3 linked regions of the Elephas maximus indicus genome follow. The protein of the gene in region 1 interacts with the protein of each later gene in a pairwise test. Links are inferred from orthologs where the notes say so. Each region holds a gene or a part of one and is shown in the gene's direction. Other genes may lie near its edges.

Evidence for each region. The genes of interacting proteins can lie anywhere in the genome.
Region 2: the proteins of CTBP1 (region 1) and SNRPN interact in a two-hybrid assay, tested with the Homo sapiens proteins (2 studies listed by BioGRID and IntAct). The link is inferred for Elephas maximus indicus from reciprocal best matches to the Homo sapiens genes CTBP1 and SNRPN.
Region 3: the proteins of CTBP1 (region 1) and HEMGN interact in a two-hybrid assay, tested with the Homo sapiens proteins (2 studies listed by BioGRID and IntAct). The link is inferred for Elephas maximus indicus from reciprocal best matches to the Homo sapiens genes CTBP1 and HEMGN.

The regions. Positions count from the first base shown.
Region 1 is NC_064823.1:159,373,187-159,381,010, reverse strand, and holds the start of CTBP1 (C-terminal-binding protein 1), read left to right. Parts: upstream 1-4,799; 5' UTR 4,800-4,974; coding exon 4,975-5,014; intron 5,015-7,824. UniProt on the Homo sapiens protein: Corepressor targeting diverse transcription regulators such as GLIS2 or BCL6. Has dehydrogenase activity. Involved in controlling the equilibrium between tubular and stacked structures in the Golgi complex.
Region 2 is NC_064831.1:99,699,212-99,706,185, forward strand, and holds the start of SNRPN (small nuclear ribonucleoprotein-associated protein N), read left to right. Parts: upstream 1-3,914; 5' UTR 3,915-4,003; coding exon 4,004-4,006; intron 4,007-4,851; coding exon 4,852-5,003; intron 5,004-6,381; coding exon 6,382-6,493; intron 6,494-6,916; coding exon 6,917-6,974.
Region 3 is NC_064827.1:47,863,022-47,870,782, reverse strand, and holds the start of HEMGN (hemogen), read left to right. Parts: upstream 1-4,701; 5' UTR 4,702-4,730; coding exon 4,731-4,809; intron 4,810-6,900; coding exon 6,901-6,994; intron 6,995-7,761. UniProt on the Homo sapiens protein: Regulates the proliferation and differentiation of hematopoietic cells. Overexpression block the TPA-induced megakaryocytic differentiation in the K562 cell model. May also prevent cell apoptosis through the activation of the nuclear factor-kappa B (NF-kB).

The DNA.
Region 1 (7,824 bases):
TTTGTTTATTGGCATTGTGCGTGTGACAGATGTTCCTGGTATACCTTCTAGCTCATTAATACTGGAATGCAGCTGTTGTCGTTGGGTGCGTCAAGCCATTTTTGATCCATAGCAACCCCATAGGATAGAGTAGAACTGCCCCATATGGTTTTCTGGGCTGTAATCTTTATAGAAGCAGATTCCCAGGTCTTTCTCCTGAGGTGCTGCTGGTGGGGTTTTAACCGTTAACCTTTCAGTTAGCAGTTGAGCACTTAACCATTGTGCCAACAGGGCTCCTTCAACACTGGAATATCGGTTAAAAAAAAGTTACCTTCTTCCCGTTCATTTAAGTTGTTCTGGTGGCACAGTTGTTAAGTGCCCAGCTGCTGACCGAAAGGTTGGCGTTTCAAAGCCACCAGCTGCTCCACGGGAGAAAGATGTAGCAGTCTGCTTCCATAGAGATTCTCACCGCCCACCCCCCACCCCCAAAAAGTCCACCAAACCTGTTGCCATCAAGTCGATCCCAACTCAGTGACCCTATAGGACAGAGTAGAACTGCCCCATAAGGTTTCCAAGGAGCGGCTAGTGGATTCAAACTGCTGACCTTTTGGTTAGCAGCACAGCGCTTAACCACTGCACCACCAGGGCTCCCCATAAAGACTATAGCCTTGGAAACCCTATGGGCCAGTTCTACTCTTTCCTATAGGGTCTGTATGAGTTGGAATTGACTGGACAGCAGTGGGTTTTGGTCTTGGTACCAGTTCATTTAGTAAAGATATCTTTGTGTGCCCACTATGTGTCCATTCCTGTGGCAGCGGTGAGCAGCCTGCAGAGCCTCATGGCACAGCACTGTCCGGCAGGAAGACAGTGCAGCAGACCGAGGGGCGGGGGCCGGGTGGCAGGACTAGAGGGCAGGTGGCTGGTGTGCAAGGTGGCCAGGTCACACAGGGTCTCAGTGGTGGTGACCTTTTCCCAGGTGAATGTAATTGGTTTGTATTTAGGGAGTGTTGGAGAGTGCTTAAGCTGGGCGGTGAGAGGCGGCAGTGGGGGATGGAGAGCAGCGGACGTGGGTGGAAGATGTGACCAGGTGGCCTGGGAGTTGAGTGGGCTTGGGGTGAGGGAGGGAAAGGTGTCGGAAAGCATCTCCAGGTGAGGCCACTGCAGAGGGTGTGCACAGAGAAGAGGGCCTGGCATTGAGGAGCCGGTGGTGGGAGGCGTGAGAGGAAAACCCACACAGGGCGAGTCCCAGAAACTTGGAGTTTCTTGAAGTTTGCAAAGGCTGCCAAGAAGCCATGCATGATAAGAACGTGATCTCCAAAGTAGGTGCCTAAAAGAACATATTCAAACTTATATGTGTGTGTATATATATTCAATATATATATAATACTATTTTTATACATAATATATACAGTTATATACATATATATATATATAGGAAAGCCTGGTGGTGCAGTGGTTAAGTGCTACAGCTGCTAACCAAAAGGTTGGCAGTTCAAATCCACCAGGTGCTCCTTGGAAACTCTATGTGGCAGTTCTACTCTGTCCTATAGGGTCGCTATGAGTCAGAATCCACTCGATGGCAATGAGTTTGATATATATATATGTATGTATACATACATATATAAACCTGTTGCTGTGAGTCAGACAGAGTGGAACTGCACCATAGGATTTCCAAGGCTGTAAATTTTTATGGAAGCAGACTGTCACATCTTTCTCCTGTGGCGCAGCTGGTGGGTTTGAACTGCCGACCTTTCATTTAGCAGCTGAGTAGTGCTTTAACCAATGCACTACCAGGTTTCTTCTCTCTCTCTCTATATATATATATCCAAACATGTATATGAGGAGCCCTGGTGGCGCACTGGTTAAAGCTAACTGAAAGGTCCACAGTTTGACACCGCCAGCAGCTCCATGGCAGAAAGATGTGGCAGTCTGCTTCCGTAGAGATTTACAGCCTTGGAAACCCTATGGGATCACTATGATTCTGAATTGACTTGATGGCAGTGGGATTTTGGTTTAAAACATGGACGTATGTGTAAAATGGTAGTGTCGTATCAGACCTCCTTGCCTAACTTTAGGAGGCGAAGAGAGAGTGACAATCAGCGTTAGCCCGAAGCTGACTCCCATGAGGTGCAGGTCAGACACACCTCCACTCTCCAGCCGTTTAGCCAGTTCTAACACCAGCCATCCCTCCCACGACACTCTCTACTTCTCTGCTGGGTTGGATAGTTCCTTGCAACGGCCACACAGAACTCACAGACCATACTCAAGATTACAGGGTTTATTATGTAAGTAACAGGTTACAATTCAGGATCTGGAACAAGTTGGAAGTAACAGGAGCTCAGGATACATTTCTTCCACTAGGACAGCTTCTCAGCCATGCCCGTAGGCAGGCCTCTGCCCTGCTCGGGCAAGTGTTACAACCCTTTAGCTCCACAAATAAGTGCCCAAAGGCACCCCACTCTGACAGCAAGTCTACCCGGAGGTGCTCAGCTCTCTCACTTCACGGCTTGGCAAGCCCAGTATAGCTGCCTTGCTCTGTGGGCCAAGAAGCCCACTGCACCACCTCACACCAGCCTCCTGGTTCTCTTGCTGTGGTGTCTCTGCTGCTGGACTCTGCTAAGCTTGCCACTGCTTCTCACCATCTCACGTCATCTCCAGTGTAAAAGCTCTCTTGAGTTACAGCTCTCCAATGCTATAGCTCTGTCTCCTTGGTCTAGCAGGTTCTCAGTGCAGGGCCCCTGGGTCTAAAGGGCGCACTTTGCTCCTGCCTCTTTTTGATGGTAGTGAGGTCCCCTCTCAACCTTGGATTGTTTTTTTTTAAGCCTAGTGGGATGACAAAACTGACCAATCCCCTACAAGGTTTCCATGCACCTTATTTGCATCAGCAGATTGTTCAATCCCCGTAGTTTACACACCTTATTTACATAGTTCCACCCAATCATTTTATGGATGTTATAAGAAAGACCATGGCTAGAAAGGTCATATAAAAGCAACTGACTGCACCTCAATATGTACATATATTAATGTTGGGTGTTGTCAATCCCAACTCGTAGAGACCCCACGTGACACAGTAGAACTGCCCCATAGGGTTTCCTAGGCTGTAATCTTTACGGGGGCAGATCGCCAGGTCTTTCTTCCGCAGATCCACTGGGTCAGTTTGAATCACCAACCTTTCAGTTAGTGGCTGAGCGCTTAACCATTGCATCACCAGGGCTCCTATGTATATACATGTCTATTTATGCAAGTGCATGTAACATTTAAATATACACGTAAAATTTAATTTAGATACAGAAAATAAGCGTTACGGATGCTTCCATACAGACTGACATTAACGTCAGCTGCTAGGATGGGGGTTAGATGTGGGGCTTGATTGTGTTTGGATGTAGATGGGAGTGTCCAGGAGAGGTGGATGTTTATGGGGGCCATATGCTGAGCACTCTGGGGCTTAGCGGTCACAAGACAGGGGAATGGCTACCGGCCATGATCTCCAGGCACCTCCAGGTAGGCATGGGCTATTTTGGTAGCAGGTTGTTTGTCTCAAAGTCCTGGCTAAAGCTTTGCATTTCCTTGTCACAAGCTCCCTGTCCCTTGCTGGCTGGATGAATTACACATTCCTGTCCATCTCAGGACAGGGCCAGAGCCTGGGCTGGTGATGGGAGGAATCCCGTTCCAAGTGAACAGGTGGCTCCCCTCAGGTACCACTGGGACCTTCCTGGCAGTGGAAATGTCTCCAGGCTGCTCCTTTGACCTGTGTTCCTGGCTAAGACCTGGATCCAGCCAGGTGCTGAAAGTGCAGCAGCTGAAAAGGCACACAGGTACAGGTGTATCCAAGACCGTGGGAAAATGGACCTTTTTTTAGAGAGAAGGAACTCCAGAAAGAACTTGGACACCTAGAATTGGTTTGTTTTGATTTCAGAGAACAATGATTCCTGTCTTCACAGCCTATTAGCCCCGGCGCAACAGAAAGCATTCCGGCTCGGCTCGAGGGACCAGGGTCTCCCGGGCTGGCTGCTGCCCTTCCTCATCAACAGGCTCACCTGCCCTTGGGGCTGGTGGACTCCCACCCTAGAGGGGCCCCCACAAGCCTCAGGGGCCCAGCTCGCCTCTGCAGTCCACCCCTGTGGAGCGCAGGCCGCTCCCCGGGGTTTGGGGTCCGCTGGCGGGCCAGTTCTCTGGCACGGACCCCGCTTCAGACACACCTGGCCTCATCTCCCCGGGGTCCCGCCTAGGCCCGGGGAACCCCTGCTCCGGTCCCTGGGTCCAGGTCATCGGGGCAGCAGGCGGCTCCCGCAGCCGGCTAGGGAAGCTCGTCCCGGGGGGTTCCCAACAGCGCCAGAAACTCGCTGGGGCGTCTGCTGTGGCTTCTCCGCGGAGCGAGGCCGCGTCCAGCGCCTTCCGGGGCCTGCAGGCCTGCGCATGGCCGCCGTCTGCGCCCTGGCAGCGCCTCCGTGCAGGGGCACGGTAACCATTCGGCCGTCGCGTCCGCGGAGCTGCCACCCGCGGCCGCGAGCCGGGTCCTACACCCGGCCGGCCCCGACGGCGCGGCGCAGGTGCCACGGGACAGGTGCGCCGGCAGGTGCGCCCGGCTCCGCCCTGCGCCGCCCGCGCCCCTCGGTGGCGCCCGGAGCTGTGGGGTGCAGGGCCGGAGCTGGCGCGGGTTCGGCCGCGGCACCGCCCAGGCCTGGGGCGGGGCCGGGCGGGCGCGCCCTGCAGCCGCCCGCGTCCGCCCGCGTCCGTCCGGCGCGGCGCTCTTTCCTGGAAACAAGAGATTAATCCGGCCGCTAAGCCCCGCCCGCCGCCCGCGCGCCGCCGCCGCCGCGCCTGTCCCCGCCCGTTCGGAGCGCGGCTGTCGGCGCGGCGCAGCGGCTCGGCACGGCGGCGCCCAGGTACAGGCGAGCGGGCGGAACAGCGGACGGCGCCGAGGCCGCCCCACGCGCCGGGCCAGCGGCGGAGCGCGCCGGACTCGTCGGGGCCCGCGGCCGCCCGCGCCTTTCAATGGGCAGCTCGCACTTGCTCAACAAGGGCCTGCCTCTCGGTAAGGCCGGGCCGCGCGCGCGCATTTCCGGCCGCGGCCGGCGGGCGGGCGGGCGGGCGAGGGGGCGGGGAACCGGCCGGCGGTGGGCGGTGGGCGCGGGGGCGGGCCGAGCGCGCGCCCGTGGGGGGCGCCGGCTTTGTGTGCAGTGCGCGTGCGCGCCGAGGGGGCGGGGCCGCGGGCGGGGCCGGGCGCGTGCGCGAGCGGGTTGCGTGTGAGTGCGCGTGCGCCATCGCCACGCCTGCCCCGCCCGCCCGCGCAGGTGACACAAAGGGGTCTGCGGGCCGGGCGGCAGCCCCCGGCCGGAGGGAACAGCTGGGCCCGGCCGGGGCTGGGACCCGCAGTCCTGCGCCCGTAGCCCCAACAGATGCCCCGATCCCAGGCCCGTGACTGCGTCCCCGGGGCCGCCGCATCCCCCTTTTCTAGGCGTATGTTTTTGCGGCCTGGCCCTACTGAATCCCCGGGTTCCGGGTCTGTGAACTTGTGGCCCGGCCCCATCAGTTCCCCGGATCCTGAGTCCACGACGCTGCAGCTCTGGCCCCATCAGAACCCCGGATTCTGGGCCAGTGATCCTGCAGCCTCAGACTCCTGAATCCCGGGTCCGTGATCTTGAGGTTTTGGTCCTATCAGAACCCCAGATTCTGGACCCTTGATCCTACAGCCCCAGTCCTGCTGAATTCTCGGGATCCTGAGACCGTGGTCCTGAGGCCTGGCCCCATCGGATCCCTGGGTCCCCATTCGATATTCAGATCCTAAGTCTGTAATATCTGGTCTCAGTCCCAGCAGACACCGCAATTCTAGGTCTGTGACCGTGCATTCCATGTTCCTCCTCTGGACGCCTGCTTTTCAGGCCCTTGATCCTGCGGCTTGGCCCTACTGGATCCATGGCTTCTGGGCTTACGATCCTGTAACCCTGGTCCCCATAAATGCCAGGCTGGTGATCCCGCATCCCTGTCCCTCCAAGTCCCCAGACCTCAGGCTGGTGATTCTGTGGCCCCTGTCCCTCCTCCAAATCCCCAGATTCTATGCTGGTGATCCTGTATCCCTCATCCCTCCCCCAAGTCCCTAGATCCCAGGCTGGTAATCCTGTGGCCCCTGTTCCTCTTCCAAGTCTCCAGATCCCAGGCTGGTGATCCTGTGGCCCCTGTCCCTCCTCCAAGTCCCCAGATTCTATGCTGGTGATCCTGTATCCCCCATCCCTCCCCCAAGTCCCCAGATCCCAGGCTGGTAATCCTGTGGCCTCTGTTCCTCTTCCAAGTCCCCAGATCCCAGGCTGGTGATCCTGTGGCCTCCAACCCTCCTCCACGTCCCCAGATCCCAGGCTGGTGATCCTGTGGCCTCCAACCCTCCTCCAAGTCCCCAGATCCCAGGCTGGTGATCCTTTGGCCCCGTCCCTCCTCCAAGTCCCCAGATCCCAGGCTGGTGATCCTGTGGCCCCGTCCCTCCTCCAAGTTCCCAGATCCCAGGCTGGTGATCCTTTGGCCCCGTCCCTCCTCCAAGTCCCCGGAGCCCAGGCTGGTGATCCTGTATCCCCCGTCCCTCCTCCAAGTCCCCAGGTCCCAGGCTGGTGATCCTGTGGCCCCCGTCCCTCCTCCAAGTCCCCAGATCCCAGGCTGGTGATCCTGTGGCCTCCAACCCTCCTCCAAGTCCCCAGATCCCAGGCTGGTGATCCTGTGGCCTCCAACCCTCCTCCAAGGCCCCAGATCCCAGGCTGGTGATCCTTTGGCCTCTGTCCCCTCCAAGTCCCCAGGGCCCCAGGTTCAAGGCCTGTGATCCTGTGGCCCCAGCAGACCCCCCAACAGCTGCCCCCAGCTCCACTTCGTCTTGCCGGAGCCAGTCTAGCCTCACGTGGCCCGTCGTTTGACTCCCTTACTTCATTTGTGATCTTCCCTTCACACATATTCCCTCCGAGGAAAGCTCTGGAAGCGAGTGTTTACTATGATACAGTAGGATACAAAGACCAAGTCTCAGTAGGGTGTAAGGATGGGATTCGCTGCAAACAACTTGCTTTGAAAGAAGAAAAAACCTTGTATTTCCTAAGAACAGTTATACATTTTGGCCAAGCGGAGGAGTCGGAAAGAAACTGTCGTGAACTTTTTACCCCTCCTCTGTGAGTCTAGCCTCGTTTCCTGTGTTGGTGGCCACGGGGCAGCCAGGGTGGGGGGACTGATTTCTCCAAGCTTCGCTTGTTGATTTGGGGCTTTTGTGGCATTACAGACTAGAAAGAAAGTAGTAACCCTCAAGCTAAAGGGTTTTCTCTGAAGAAAAACAGCCATCTCAAAATGGAGCGTATGTGGAGGGTGCTGGGGCGGGCTTCGGTGACTCCAGCGATTTTAGAGGCATTTTGTTTGGTGGCAGGCCTGCTAGTGCCGTGTGAATTTTTAAACTAAATTTCCTAAATACGTAAAATGAAAACGTGACCGACCAGCTAGTGGGGAGGGCAGCCTCTCTGTTCGTGGCTTTCAGTTGGTCACTTCAGCTCATGAGCTGTGCAGCCCGGGGGTCGTGCAGCCAGGGCATCTTTGGGTCTGTGTGAGCGGGGAGGGAGAGCTGGAATCCCACAGTCCCCGCACATGATTTGAGGAAACTCCACGCGATGCGCTGGGCTGGCCTGTTTCCACCTTAATAATTCAGGAGGTCGGGACCTGCTTCTGTTTGCCACCAGGGCGCCGTTTTTCCTCTCGTTTTGAAAGGTGGCAGAAGCAAAGCCCCTTATGGCGTTCTCTCGACCCTGTGGCAACACAGGGTGTCTGAGCCTTACAGACCGCACTGCTCTCCACGGCTACTCTGTAACCTTCCTTGGCTGGATGGCC
Region 2 (6,974 bases), on another chromosome or scaffold:
GATCTGTTCTGCATTTGGCCCCTAGCCTTCTTCTGACTGATATTGGACTTTCCATTGTCTCTCTCCACAGATACGGTCAATTTGATTTCTGAGTATTCCATTCAGTGAGGTCCACATGTATTGTCACCATTTTTGTTGTTGAATAAAGGTATTTGCAATGAATAATTCATTCTTGTAAAAGTGTATCATGAGATCTCTGTCACCGAGGCCAGTTCTCCAACTACCAGTACTTCTTTGTTTTCAACTTTTTCAGTTACAATCACTAGTAATTATCAGTGCATCTTTATTACGTGTTTGATCAATTTCAGACAGCAGAAGATAGAAAACCAATCATAATTCTTCAGAAACTCAATGCAAAAAGGCTGAGTTCAGCTCCAGAGGCTATTTACCTGGAGTGACAATGTCAGGACCCCAGAAAAATGGAACAGCACAAAGATACCCCTGTGGCACAGAGGTCTGATTTGGTGATGTCCCAGGAGATTACAAAAGGTGATGCCTCCGAGCCTGTTCGGGTGCTGTTTTATGTCTAAGCGTAGTAAACACTTACTCTGTTGAAGAAAGGAGATTTATTGGTGGTTCATTAACAGTCTGGCCTGGATAAAACGTCTGATTTTACAGAGTGAACAAATACTTCCAAAACAGTGAAGCTGCAGAGAACTTTTAAAGGATGAGAACAAAGAACTTGAGGTGCACTATTTTGATTGGACATTACAAACTTAGATTAACGCAAGGTGGGTTTACTGAAAGTGGGGGCTGTGGAGGTTTACAGGTCCTTTTTCTACTAGAAACACCTGGCTTAAGTGAAATTTTTCTTGTCAGTAGTTGCCTAGGAGACCCAGAAGAGAGTCAGCATCAAGGTCTTCTTCCTGAGACATTGTTTCAGGAAGGGTCTTGATAAACCCATTGCTGTCGAGTAGATTCCAACTCATAGTGACCCTATAAGGCAGAGTAGAACTGCTCCATACGGTTTCCAAGGAATGCCTGGTAGATTCAAACTGCTGGCCTTCTGGTTAGCAGCTGTAGCTCTTAACCACTACACCACCAGGGTTTCCTAACCACAGAGAAAAGGGGGAAAAGAAAAAGGTTTCTTTAGTTTACATTTAGTTATAGGCCTTAAAGAATAAGTTAGGGGTTTGCATATCTTAAAGGCAAGATGGAGTAGGACCCTGAACGCTAAAGCAGCCATTTTACTTTAGTCAAGTGCCTCAGTTTACTTTTTCTTACTCAATAAAACCCACTGCCGTCGAGTCGATTCCGACTCATAGTGACCCTATAGGACAGAGTAGAACTGCCCGATAGAGTTTCCAAGGAGCACCTGGTGGATTCGAACTACCGACCTCTTGGTTAGCAGCCATAGCAGTTAACCACTACGCCACCAGGGTTTCCTCTTACTCAATAAAAACCTTAAAGGTTTCTGTGGTTACTTTTTTTTTTTGTCTTTCAAATTTAGTCTTAGAAAAGCTATATCCAGCTCTACTGGTTTCTTTCAATAACTTTTCTGTGGCACGCTGGTAGTATGTCTCCATTGTTGGCGGCAAGGGAGCGTGGTCAAGGAATAGTGTCTCGGTGGTTGTGCTGATTTTTTTCCCCCATCAGTGGCATATGAAAGTAATAGTTTGAACTTTGTACATTATTTTAAGTTATTGACCTTATTGAACCCTTTAAAACATTTTGATACATAGCTTTCAATACCATAAAATTACCAACTGTTTGTATGATATTATTGTGATAAAATATATATAACAAAATTTGCTATTTTAATCATTATTAAATATATGTCAGTGACATAAATTTTATTCACCATGTTGTGCAGCCATCACCACTATCCATAAAATGTTTTGCCTCACTCCAAACAGAAACTCAGTACCGCTTAAGCAATAATGCCCCAATCCTCCCTCACTCATACTTCTGGTAATCATTGATAAACTTTTGTCTCTGCTTTTGCCTATTCTAGATATTTCACAGAAGTATGTATAAATCTAGACTTGTTAGCTAATTTACATCTTTGGGCACCAATTGCCACAGGGTAATTTTAGACTATTTCCATCACTTCATTAAGATCCATCATGCCTATTTTCAGCCATTCCCCATTTCCACCCCCAGCACCAGACAACCACTCATCTATTACTTTGTCTCTAGGTTTGCTCAGGGTCCCAGGACTTAATAGATACAGGGTTATAAAAATGAAGAATTAAAAAAAAAACGTGCTGTATTTAAGAAGAAAAGGAGGATTGAGTTTTATATATAGGTGGTGGTGTTTGGACTCTGCATTATAAAGAATTTTAAGGCAATATTCAGAACAAAGATGTTGTAGGCTTTAAACGAGTTTGCGTCAGATACTGCATTTGAGGGTCCTCAGGCTGCTGATTAGTATACTCGTTTAAGTATAAGGTTCATGTAAAACGTTAATTCATACAAATATTGGATTCTTCCTGGGTGCTAGGCATTGAAGTGTCTGGAAGGACATAATTCTTACACTCTTGAGAATATAAGCCTGGTTGATTGGAGAAGAGGTGTGTATAGAGATTAGTCAGACCATGCGTTAAGATATGGACAGATCATCTTGCAGGAAATGTTCCAAAAAGAAGCAACATCAGGAATTTGTTTAGGCAATCCGAGTTGTCATAAAAATTTATTTAATAGATGTAAAATTTTGGAAATGAGAAGGAAAGCATCTTTCCTGCATCTCATCACCATTAGTGAACTTTTACTTTGATACTACATTCTCTTCTGTTCTGTTACCATATAGCTCCACGTGACAGTGTCCTCAAAGCATTATTTCTCTGTATTGTTTTGATGTTTCTGTAGTTTGTAACCACACTTTAATTAATTTTAACTTGTATATGTAACCAGTTTCTTTTTTCTTTATTGTGGCAAAATAAAACAGCTGTCATTTCAGTCCTGTTCACATGTACAATTCATGACATAGATAACCAGCTTACTTTTTCTTGATTTTAGTATTTCTGTATTGAAAACAATGAAGGTATAATATTATTGGAAATGGTTGCCTTGTTAAAAGTAGTTATATCAGATTTTGTTTCTAATGCTGTGCTTCTTTTATGCATAAACCTAAACTTCTGTTAAAAAGTATGTCTATGGTTTTTTTTTTTAATAAGTCACAGCTTGAGGCTTTGTTATAACCAGTTCAGCCTAGATTTCGTAGCCGTATATGGAAGGCGCATTTTTAGAGTAACAGGGAAAAGGATAGCTTATTGTTAAAGTGTGTGTTTCTTTGGTGACTATGGAAGTTGCCGTATTCCGATATATCGACAATTAGTTGTTTGCACCCTTTTGACGTAGGAAGTCTGAAGCAGGTATGTAGTAATAAACCTGGCTCTTGGTAAATAAAGATTAGCTAACATCATTTTGATGGAGCTGTAGGGAGTGAGGGAACATTTCAATTGAGAACATTTAAGTGAGTTATTAGGTGGTATGGCCAAAAAACAAAACAAAACAAAACAACCAACCAACCAACCGTGAATGTTTGAACTAACTTAGGGGTAGTTGGGATGGAGAAACTTGATTATCAAGATGTTGATGTAGAGGTGACTCGGTATTAATTTTAGACCAGAGAAAAAAATGAATCAGTAGCTTAAATAAGGATGGAAAGAGAAAATAGTAAATTTTGGGAGTGGATAATGAAGCTGATTTTTGGCACATTTCTAGGCAAAATAAAATTAAATGAGTTTTGTCAAATGTGATAGTTAATATGAGGGAATAGTGAATTTTTTCTTGGTGGTTGTGGGAACATGGGAGTAGGAATATTTTTGAATATGTCTTTTGTGGTTTTCATGCAAAATTATCTGCCTGTTGTAAACATGGTAGATGGTGGTGCAGCTTGAACATGCTCTCCTCCGCAGGCTCCGTCTGCTGTTTGAAGCTTCTTCCCAGCTGGCATTGTTTATAGGAGAACCACGTCATACCTTTATCTGTAGCCTTCCCCTAGGTCTTAAGGTTCCAGAAACTTTACTGTGAGGACATTGGATTTGGTGGAACAGCAATCATGGTAAGATGAAGATTAGGAGAGAGGGGTGGTAAACTGCTCTAAGGGTTTGCCAGAGTGTGGGTTGATTTTGGGTTCTGAATGTTAAAAATCAGAAGTTTGTAGAAATGGATTCTCACTGAATTAGGGTAGTGGCTGAAGATAAGTAATGTGTGATGTTCATGTTGTAGTAGTGAAAAGGATTGCAAACCATTTTGCTGTGAGAAAATACAGAAGAGTTTTTGGTTGTGATTATAATTGTAAGAGACCATTTGAAGGTAGACTGTTAGGTCAGATTACAGTATATGTAACATCTACTTTGAAAATGGAGAAATTTGGGGCTCAGTTAGTATAGATGAAAGCAGTCTGGAGAAAGATACAGTATCCTAACCTTATTAGTACCTGTTGGTGTAGAGTTGATTCCGACTCACAGCAACCCTATAAGGACAGAGTACAACTGCCCTCATAGAGTTTCCAAGGAGTGGCTGGTGGATTTGAACTGCCAACCTTGTGTTTAGCAGCCAAGCTCTTAACCACTACTCTACCCTATTAATAGTAAAAACAGAAGCAAAAAACAAAACTTGGAGAGGAGAGAAAAGAGATAGGGTCAAGTGTCTGTGAGAGGGTGAAGTTTGGCCATGATTTGGGAAAGGAATGGGATTAGAATGATGGAGCTATAGAGGGGAACTGGATTCAAATGTAGACTATTGTCTTGAGTAGGTGTGAAGGAAATTGGGGAAAGGTGGAGGGATTTGGTCAGCGAAAGAAGTCAGTTTCAGGTTGGTATAGGAGTGGGAAAGAAACCCAAGTGGCATAGAAAAATAGGCTGTGAACAAGCTGATTATTGACTCTCATTTTACTCCTTGCAGACCGTGGGCAAGAGCAGTAAGATGCTGCAGCACATTGACTATAGAATGAGATGTATCCTGCAAGATGGCCGAATCTTCATTGGCACCTTTAAGGCCTTTGACAAGCATATGAACTTAATCCTTTGTGATTGTGATGAGTTCAGGAAGATCAAGTAAGAAAGACCTGTTTGGGTAAAGAATATGCAGGTAGAGGCAGTGGGAAGCCAAGGCTAGAGCAGGAGTAAGGGATTATAGAGGGTAGTTGAAGGAGGTAGGGAAAAAGTTTCTAACCCTTCGGTGTCATCTTCAAATAGCTGTAGAGGCTCCCAGTCTCAAAGTTTTTATCGCCATAGAACTATTTCTAATTTGCAAAAAGACTTTCCAAGGAGCGCCTGGCGGATTCGAACTGCTGACCTTTTGGTTAGCAGCTGTAGCACTTAACCACTACACCACCAGGGTTTCCTGGGTTTTAAAATAATGAGGAAAAGTGATGTTTGACTCCTTGTGCTTGTTGAGGACAGTTCTTCTCAGTTAAATTTGAATGAACAGAATTCATGACATTTTCATTGTCGTCCCCCTTTCATTTATTTCCAGTCTCCTTCCTGTACCAAGGCCGATCATTCCAGAAGTGCTAGGATGGTGGATGCCTCAGTTTTATTTTTACTTTTTTTGTTTAAACCACCTTTATACTAAAAAGCATTAAAAAACCCTTATGATATTGATAAATAACAAAGAAGGTATTTGAGAGCTTCGGGCATATTCTCAGTTTCTGTTTTTCATTCCTTTCTGACCAAGTCGTGGGAGTAATTATACCTAGTTAATGCTTCAGCTTGCATTATTCTCTGGTAATACCTAATGGGATTTATTAAATGGCATTGTAATTGTAATGGTTCCTTTTACCTACACAAAAAAAAAAAACAATGCGGTTTAAACCCCATACATGTATGCAGTAGACATTAATCTGATTTTTCCTGCTTACATTTGAAGAAACTAGGATAGGAATTTAATTTTCCAAAGTTACACAGTAAATGGTAAGCTCAGGAATACACAGGTGTCTCTGATTCCAAGTACTTCCTTACCATTTTGTATGCCCTCTTTTGCCTATTACTGTCTTATTCATTATTTCAGTTCCATGATATGTCAATAAGATTTACCTAGTTAAAAAAATGATTTAGAAATTATTGCCCATCTTAAAATTATATAGAGTTAGGTTTCAGTTTTGACTGTTTTAAAAGGCTTACTGTGTCATTGCATTTATTTTACAATGAAGAAATTAGTTTTGCTGAAGTGTAATATCTAGAGAACATTCTTTAAAGGGCTGAAGCTTAATAGAAGAGCTTCAGCACTCACCTTGCTGTACCTAGTATTTGCATATCAGCTGAGTCTAGGTGTTAATTTTATCACAGCTCAGTGACTGTCTTATGTTTAAATAAGATTCTTGGCATCAGTTATTGTCTTAATTTTTACTTTGTGATACACATGTAAGTTATGTAAAATAATTTGAGCTAGAGATACTAACTTACTTCACGAAAATTTGCTTCTGATTTGTAGGCCAAAGAATGCAAAGCAGCCAGAGCGTGAAGAAAAGCGGGTTTTGGGTCTGGTGTTGCTGCGTGGGGAGAACTTGGTTTCCATGACTGTGGAGGGGCCACCCCCCAAAGATGTAAGATGTAGGGTAGGATGGAACTTTCATGTGGAAGAGCATTGCTTTATTGGAGATGAGAGAGGCACAGTACAGCACATCTTCGTCAATTAAAACGTGCTTAGCACTTGATGTCAGTTCTTTGTATTTAGAGATTAGGGTTTTATGATAAATTATTCTTCGCACCGTGTAGTACCTAGATAAGCATAGCAGTTGCTTATTTACTTTCTCATTTTATGGTCATAAACATACATGTTTTGACAAATATAATGTACGTTCTAGGCATCTGCAAGATGTCTCCAAGGTGCACTTGCCCATTTTTTCCTTTGAGTAAAGAACCAAAATGAGATAGGTGGAATGGGAACAGGGTGAAGTTAATCAGTGTACGAGTGAGAGATTACGACAATTGAGAATTTGGTTTCAAGTTGTAAACTTTTGTTTCAGACTGGCATTGCTCGGGTTCCACTTGCTGGAGCTGCAGGAGGCCCTGGAGTTGGCAGGG
Region 3 (7,761 bases), on another chromosome or scaffold:
GTAGGAAGAGGGTCAGACTTAGAGGCTGAAGGCCCGGGTTCCAGGCTCAAACTCCCAGTCTAGCTCTGTGGCTTTACGTGGAGCACCGGTTTCTTGAGCTGAAAAGTGAGAAGAATAATAGCCACTTTATAAGCTCGCTGCAAGGACCCAGTGAGATACCTATTAAAGTAGGGCCCTGTGCTGGGTTTAATGCTCTGCTGTATCCATCTTGAAATTCTTAATTTTTAAATGAGGAGGCCTCTTGTGTTTTCATTTTACATGGGCCCTGCCAACTATGCAGCCAATCCTGCCTGTATGCCTTTGTCCCAGTCACATAAACTCTCTGGGCTCCGCCATCTATATTTCATTTAACTGAATTGTTAGAAAATAAACTGTTAGGACGAATTTTCAATCCTTCTTCTACTTCACTTATTAGCGAAATTTGACAGAGTTGATTACTCCATCTGCCTATATTCATTTGACTTCTGGGACAGGACACTTTCCTGGTTTTCCTCTGCCTTACTGGCTGCTCCTTCGCTGTTTTCTCGTATCTCCACAATCTATTAACACATCCAGAGCTAACTCCTGGTCTTCTCTTCCAAAGCTGCTCTGCTGTTCTTCATCTGTTAATAGTAAGTAACTCCATCCTTCCAGTTTCTCAGACCAAAACCTGTGTCATTGTCTTTGATTTCTCTCATCTCCCCATATTCAATTTGTCAGCTAATCCAAAATCTGACCCCTTCCTCACCACTTTCATCACTGTCCAAGCTTTAATCGTCTTCCTTCTGGATTACTGCAATACCCTTCTAACTGGACCTCCTGCTTCCACCTCCTCACCTGTCTTCAGTGGTCTCCACACAGTTGCCAGAATAATCCTTTTAAAATATAAGTCAGATTACATCACTCCTCTGTACAAAACCATCCCATGACTACGCATCCCATTCAGAGGAGAAATCCGTACCAGTGTCAACAAGCTACCTGTTAACCTCACCTCTTACCACTCTCTCCTCTCAGAAACTTTGCTGGTGCCTTAGGCCTGGAATGCACTCCCCTCCCCCAGTTATCCGTATGGCTAGTCCCTCACTTCCATCAGTTCCACTCAACCATCCTATTTAAAACAGCAGCCACCATCAACCTTCCCGTTCTCACCCCAACCCATCATTCCCTGCTTAATTTTCTCCAAAGCGCTTACCACCAACTGATTAAAAAAAAAAAAAAAAAAAAAACACCATCTGACATATTGCATATTTCGTTCATTTGTTTATTGTTTACCTCTTACCATTAGAATATACACTTCAAAAGGGCAAGGACTTTTGTCTTTTAACAGCTATGTCTCCAGGACACTGGGCATTGAGTAGATATGCCAGTAGAAAGAACTGTGGAGCAGATGATAGAAATATTATTATTAAGTCATGGCAGCATCAGCCCCTCAGAGTTTCCAAAGTATTTTCATAGGTCGGTGTCCCAAGAAGCCAGCTCTGCATACAGGTAGTGAGGGCACTGATGGGAACTACTGTGTGCCCAGCCTTCCACTAGATCATGCTGTAGAGATAGAAAGATGAACCAGAAGTAGGTTTCATGTATATGTGCAAATAACCCTAGAACAAGGCAGCGTTTGTTAAAATATCCACCCTTTAATGCCTTAATACTTCACATTCTGGTGATAACTCTAGAGTCTAGTAGGTTATGGCTTGTAAACTTACTTCTTGGCTATTTCTGTCCCAGGCAATTTCCCGCTCTGGCCTGCTTATCACACCGGAGACACCTTGCCTGACTTCCAATCTAGTCAGTCCCTCTACTGGCCTCCTCCGCCCAACACTGCCCTTTATTTACTGTTAACTGGAGACCCCACCCTCTTATAATTCCTCCATACTCTGCTTCTAGATACAGGGAACATGGGGGCAGTGGTGGAATCGATTTAGGAAGTTTGTAGCAGAGTGTAAAGAATCAAAGTATTGTTGCCTTACAATGAAGCTTTGTATATCTCTGTCCTCTATGAGCCTACGGGGCAAAGAGCTGAGGGGCTGCATCTACCCATCTCTGTAGCCTGGCAGCCTTGCTCAGGATGTGGCACTGAGTGGGTGCTCAGTAAGATGTGCTGAATTGGTGAACTGGATGTTGTGAGCTCTGAGCCAGGATAATCCTACTTAAGAAGTACCTATATATTCTCTGTAAGGTGCCCCAGAGGGATTCTAAAGGGTTATTTTATTGAGTTATCATAATGTAACAAACAACTGTACTAGTAAGAATGAAAACATCTCAAAGAGACCAACTTTTGAAACAACAATTTAAATTAAAAAGCACTATTTTATACTTTTCAAGGGTACTTTAATCAGTATTTGATGTCTTTACTGAACTCCATACCTGAATATCCAAAATTATCGAGAGACAAATTATAAAGGAAGCCTTCCATTCCCTACAGGACTAGTTTGAATAGGGGCTCCCCAAGGTTATCTGGATTTTAGATAGAAATTTACTTAAGTGAAAGACTAGGGGACTGAGAAACTTAAAGCTAAAGCATTAGGACCTGGTTATTAAAAACCAAGTAAAATGTAAGCAGTGAGTACTTGGGCGTTTGTTGTGTGATTGTCAACACTTTTCAGTGTGTTTGAAGAACTTGCTTATCATACGTTCCCACCACACATACATTTTCATAGCCAGGCAAGTTCAATTAAAAAAGATGACCCATCTCATAATTAGTAAGAGGTGCTACCACCAATAAGTATGAAAATATTGGGCCAGTCAGCCCTCCTCCTCCTTGGTTCCCATTTTCTCCATATGTAAAATAGAGGCAGGAACTAGATGGTTTGGGGCCCTTCCAGTTCTAATGTCTTATAAAAGCAGAGGAAACCTAGTCACATTATAAAGTCCTTGTCTTTATAAAAGGAGCCCTGGTGGGACAATTGTTAAAGCGCTCGGCTGCTAACTGAAAGGTCGCTGGTCGCAACCCACCAGCCTCTCTGCAGGAGAAATATGTGGCAGTTTCTTTCCGTAAAGATTTACAACCTTGGAAACCTTACGGTGCAGTTCTACTCTGTCCTGTAGGGTCACTATCAGTTGGAATTGACTCAGTGGCAGTGGGTTTGGTTTTTTGGTTTTTCTCTTTATAAAGGATTGCCTTCAGATTTTATGAGTTTCTTTATTCCATTTAAAATATGATTTGGTTTACCAAAATCTGGCTTCCAAACAACTTTTCGGAACAGATGTTATATAAAGAACACTCACTCTACTGTCATTATTAATACAAGCAACTAACATTTCTTAAACAAGTACAATATGCCAGGCACTATATTCAGTGGAAACCCTGGTGGTGTGGTGGTTAACAGCAACAGCTGCTGACCAAAAGGCTGGCAGTTCAAATCCACCAGGCACTCCTTGGAAACTCTATGGGGCAGTTCTACTCTGTCCTATAGGGTCACCGTGAGTTGGAATCTATTCAGCGACAGTGGGTTTGGTTTGGCTTTTTTTTTTTTTTTTAATGTATTCAGTGGACCCTTGGTGGCACAGTGGTTGGCAGTTTGAATCCACCAGCTGCTTCTTGGAAACCCCGTGGGGCAGTTCTACTCTGTCTCATAAGGTCACTATGAGTCGGAATCAACTGGACAGCAATGAGTTTGGGTTTTTTGTATATATTCAATATCCCAGGCACATATAAAATGCCTTATATGGACGATCTGAATTAATCATTCCAACAACCCCAAGAAGTAGAAGCCAATATTGTTCCTGAGTCTATCTAACATGCCCAAGGCCACAGACTCGGGGAATAGAAATGCTGGAATTCATGCTGTCTTCAGTTCAGCCTCTGTGTTAGCCCTGCATCTCCCAGGCTGGCTGCCCGCATCAGGAAGGGCTCAGGTTCCTTCCTTAGTAGAACCATGGCCCTCTCTGCCTCTTTGCCTTTACAAACAGGGCGACCCATCAAAAGATGGCATAGTTCCTTTGATTTCAATTTAACTTCATAACATGGCAATGTTTTCATTGAGAAATGATTTTGACCTTCCCCTTGACGAGTAACAGTGGATGTCTCTAGTTATCTTAGATTTCTTCTGAATGATTGGGTGAGCAGAAAAGGGTTTAAATTTGCTTTGAATTCCTAGTTTGGTTCTTCTCTTTATGTTTTATTTATTTAAATCTAACAGGATACATGGCAAGACAACATTATTTTGCAAGAGACTCAGGAGAAAAAAAAGCCACGTGCAGAGAAACAGTAGCTGAGAATTTCACATCTGTATCGCACACTTCAAAATTTGCTCATCCATTATTTTCACTTCCATGAGAACTGTATGAAGTAGGCAAGACAGGAATTATTTACCCACTTTTTAAAGGAGGAAACAGAGTCACAGAGCTGGTGAGAGCCTGCACCCAGTGCTCTTTCCACACCAGCCACCCCCCTATGTAAACAAGGACATCAGATCCCCACACTTTGTGGCAGGTAGAACCAAATGACTGCAGTCCTGAGGTCTGTGGCACACCAGGCTGTGGCCAGAGTACCTGCCTGTGTGAAGAGCACCCTATTAGAGGAGGAGGACCTAGCACCAGCCATTTTCCCCCTTCTCACACCTGCACAGGGTGATAAAGCAGAATTAGCCTGCAGCTGTGGTCCAACCAGATAAAACATTTAGGCGGGAAGTCAAGTGACAAGTGAACTTGTGTGTGCGTGTGTTTAAGTGTTAGTTACTTTTGATATTTTAAAAAAGCTCCTAAGCTGCTTGTGGAAGTCAGACTAAATAGCAGGAAGGTACTGCGGCAAGATGGATTTAGGAACAGACCAATCTCATGTGAAACTCCATGGGACACCTGCTCCTCATCAACAAGAGAACCATGCTCCAGGTAATGAAAGAGACCTTCAGAGGCAGTGGCTGTTGGGAGGAATTGGGGTTGTGATTACTTGCCTATGCTTTATGGATCTGGCAAAAAAAAAAAAAAAAAAAGGCATCACTGAGTAGGTTCATATAAGTTTAGGTGGGAAAAACTGAGACTGTGTAACTTCCTGAGGAGCCTTCTAGCACTAAGATTCTAATAAGACAGAAAACACAAGGTAGTATAATAAATAAATTATTAGTAAGAAAATTATTAAAACAAAAGATAGGGAAAATATACAATACTGTATGGATGTGGTAAAACAAATATACCCGTATGCTCCTACGGCAGCATAAATTTGGTGTAACTTTTAGAAAAAGCTGTGGCACTGAGTAGCCAGAACTGTAATTGTGTTTATTCTCTTGACTCACGAATCCTGCTCCTTGGGTCTGTCCTAAAGCAGCATTTCTCAAAATGTTTTGCAGAATCCTAGGCCTTGAGATACACTAAGAGAGGGTTCTTAAACTTTTTTTTGTGCCATGCTGATGAAGCCTACAGACCCCCTCTTAGAATAAAAAAATTTAAACATAGGACATTAAATACATAGGATTGGAAAGGAAATCGAGTTATCAAAACATGATTATCAAAATAAAAAAAAAGGAAGCTTGAAATACAGTAATATATGTGTTTGTAGGTGCGTTAAACAACAAGATCCAGTGCTGGGTCTAATAGCTAGCATAATGATATTTATGCTGTGTATAAATGATATTGATGTAAATAAATGATATTTTGAGGTACCTGCAGCAATGGTAATGTGACATGAAAATCAAGTCTGTCATTTCTTTGCGTGACAAAGCCACAGCTACTGCTAAAACTACCACGGTTTGTGGCCTACATTCATAATTGACGGAAATAGTCATTTTAATTAGAGGTTGGTAAAAATAGAGGTGTAATTTTTTCCCATCCAAGTTCACCGTTAAGAACCCCTGTCCTAAGAATAGAAGCCCCCACATGATGCAAATGGTTCAGGTGCCCAGCTGTTCACCGAAAGGTTGGAGGTTTGGGTCCACTCAGAGGAGCCTCAGAAGAAAGGCCTGGCAATCTACTTCTGAAAAATCAGCCATTGAAAACCCTATGGAGCACAGTTCTCCTTGGACACACGTGGGGTCACTGTAAGCCCGCGTCGGCGCAGCGGCCGCTGGTGGACACACGTGGGGTCACTGCGAGCCCGCGTCGGCGCAGCGGCAGCTGGCGGACACACGTGGGGTCACTGTGAGCCCGCGTCAGCGCAGCGGCCCCTGGCGGACACACGTGGGGTCACCGTGAGCCCGCGTCGGCGCAGCGGCAGCTGGTGGTGGTGTCCTAAGAACAAGGCACCGTGGTCGTGCAGCATACTTTGTCCCTTCTGGGAGCCACAGTGCAGGCTCGCATAGTAAAGGCTCAGGAAACTCTCTATCAAAGACCTAATAACTCTCCTCAAACTTGCATGGCAACAGAAGCTTTTTTGATAATAACTTTAATATTTCAAAGAACCTGGAAAAACATAATCCTAAAGAAATAATCCTAAAGAAAGAAAATGCTATCAGCATGAATATGCTTATTATACTTTGGTCTGCAATAGCAAAAAAGAACTGTCAACAACCTGAATGCCCACTACAAGTCAAACGGTTAGGTAAATAACAATACATCAGCTTGATTAAGTATCATGTAATCATTAAAATTATAATTATGAAGACTGTACTGTGGAAAATATTTGATACAATGTTAGGCTAAAGAGATACAAAATTGTAATATGCTATATTACAACTTGTTTAATATTGTGTAATACAGGGATTGGATGGAAATGAATAAAATGACAGCAGGCTACCATGCTAAGGATGGCAGAGCATGAGTGATTTTTTTCTTCTATTTATACAATATGTAAAAATCATTTTGAAGAAGGGAATAGGTTGATAACACACTCATGTATAAATACTATCTGAAAAGTGGTCCTCAAAAAGCTAGAGGAGAAAAATCTTAGACACCCAGCATAGAGATTTTATCACCTTTCCATAGGACTCTTTGACTGATAAATGCCATAATTCATCACTTTTTCCTATAACTTTCATTTTGGTTCTACAGAAGTCATTGGAACTTGGAGTTTGCGAAACCGGGAGCAACTCAGAAAAAGAAAAGTTGCAGCAGAAGAAAAACAAACTTCCCAGTGGCTATTTGGGTACGGTATCAGCGCAAGGGAAGGAACTAGTATTTATCGAGTATATGTTACATGTCAAGTAGTGCTCAGCACTTTCACAGACTATATTTTATATTTCCAACAATCCTGTGAGTCAGGCATTATAATCTCTATTTTAAGGCTCAAGACGGTGCAGTTGTTAAGTGCTCGGCTGCTAACCAAAGGGTCAGTGGTTAGAACCCACCAGGTGCTCCGTGGGAGAAAGATGTGGCAGTCTTTTTCCATAAAGGTTTACAGCCTTGGAAGCCCTATGGGGCGGTTCTACTCTGTCCTGTAGGGTCGATATGAGTCGGAACCAACTCAACGACAACAGGTTTGGTTTTTTGGAATCTCTGTTTTACTAAAAAGGAAAAGTAAGTCTCTGATGAGTTAAATCTCATGCCTGAGTTCACATAGCTAGTAAAATGGTGGGAACAGAATTTTATCCCTGGTCTCTTTTAATTAGAGCATCAAGCAATCCAGTTATATTGTTGAGAGGCCTGGGGTTCAGCTACTGTGATCACAGAAACATGTAAGCATCGTGTTGTTGGGAGTGGGGAACATCACTGAGGAAGCCTCTGAGAGTGTTCTCTAAGCTTCCTATTAGTCAAATCTTTATTGTACAGGTGTGATTAACTCTCCATGGAGTGAGTGAGTGACAGAAGAGTCTGGGGAGTCTTGAACCTCCAGTCAAAGTCACCTCTATGTAATCTCGGTGACAGAGTACAGAACGTGATCGTAAGTGAGGCAGCATCTATTTACATCCATTT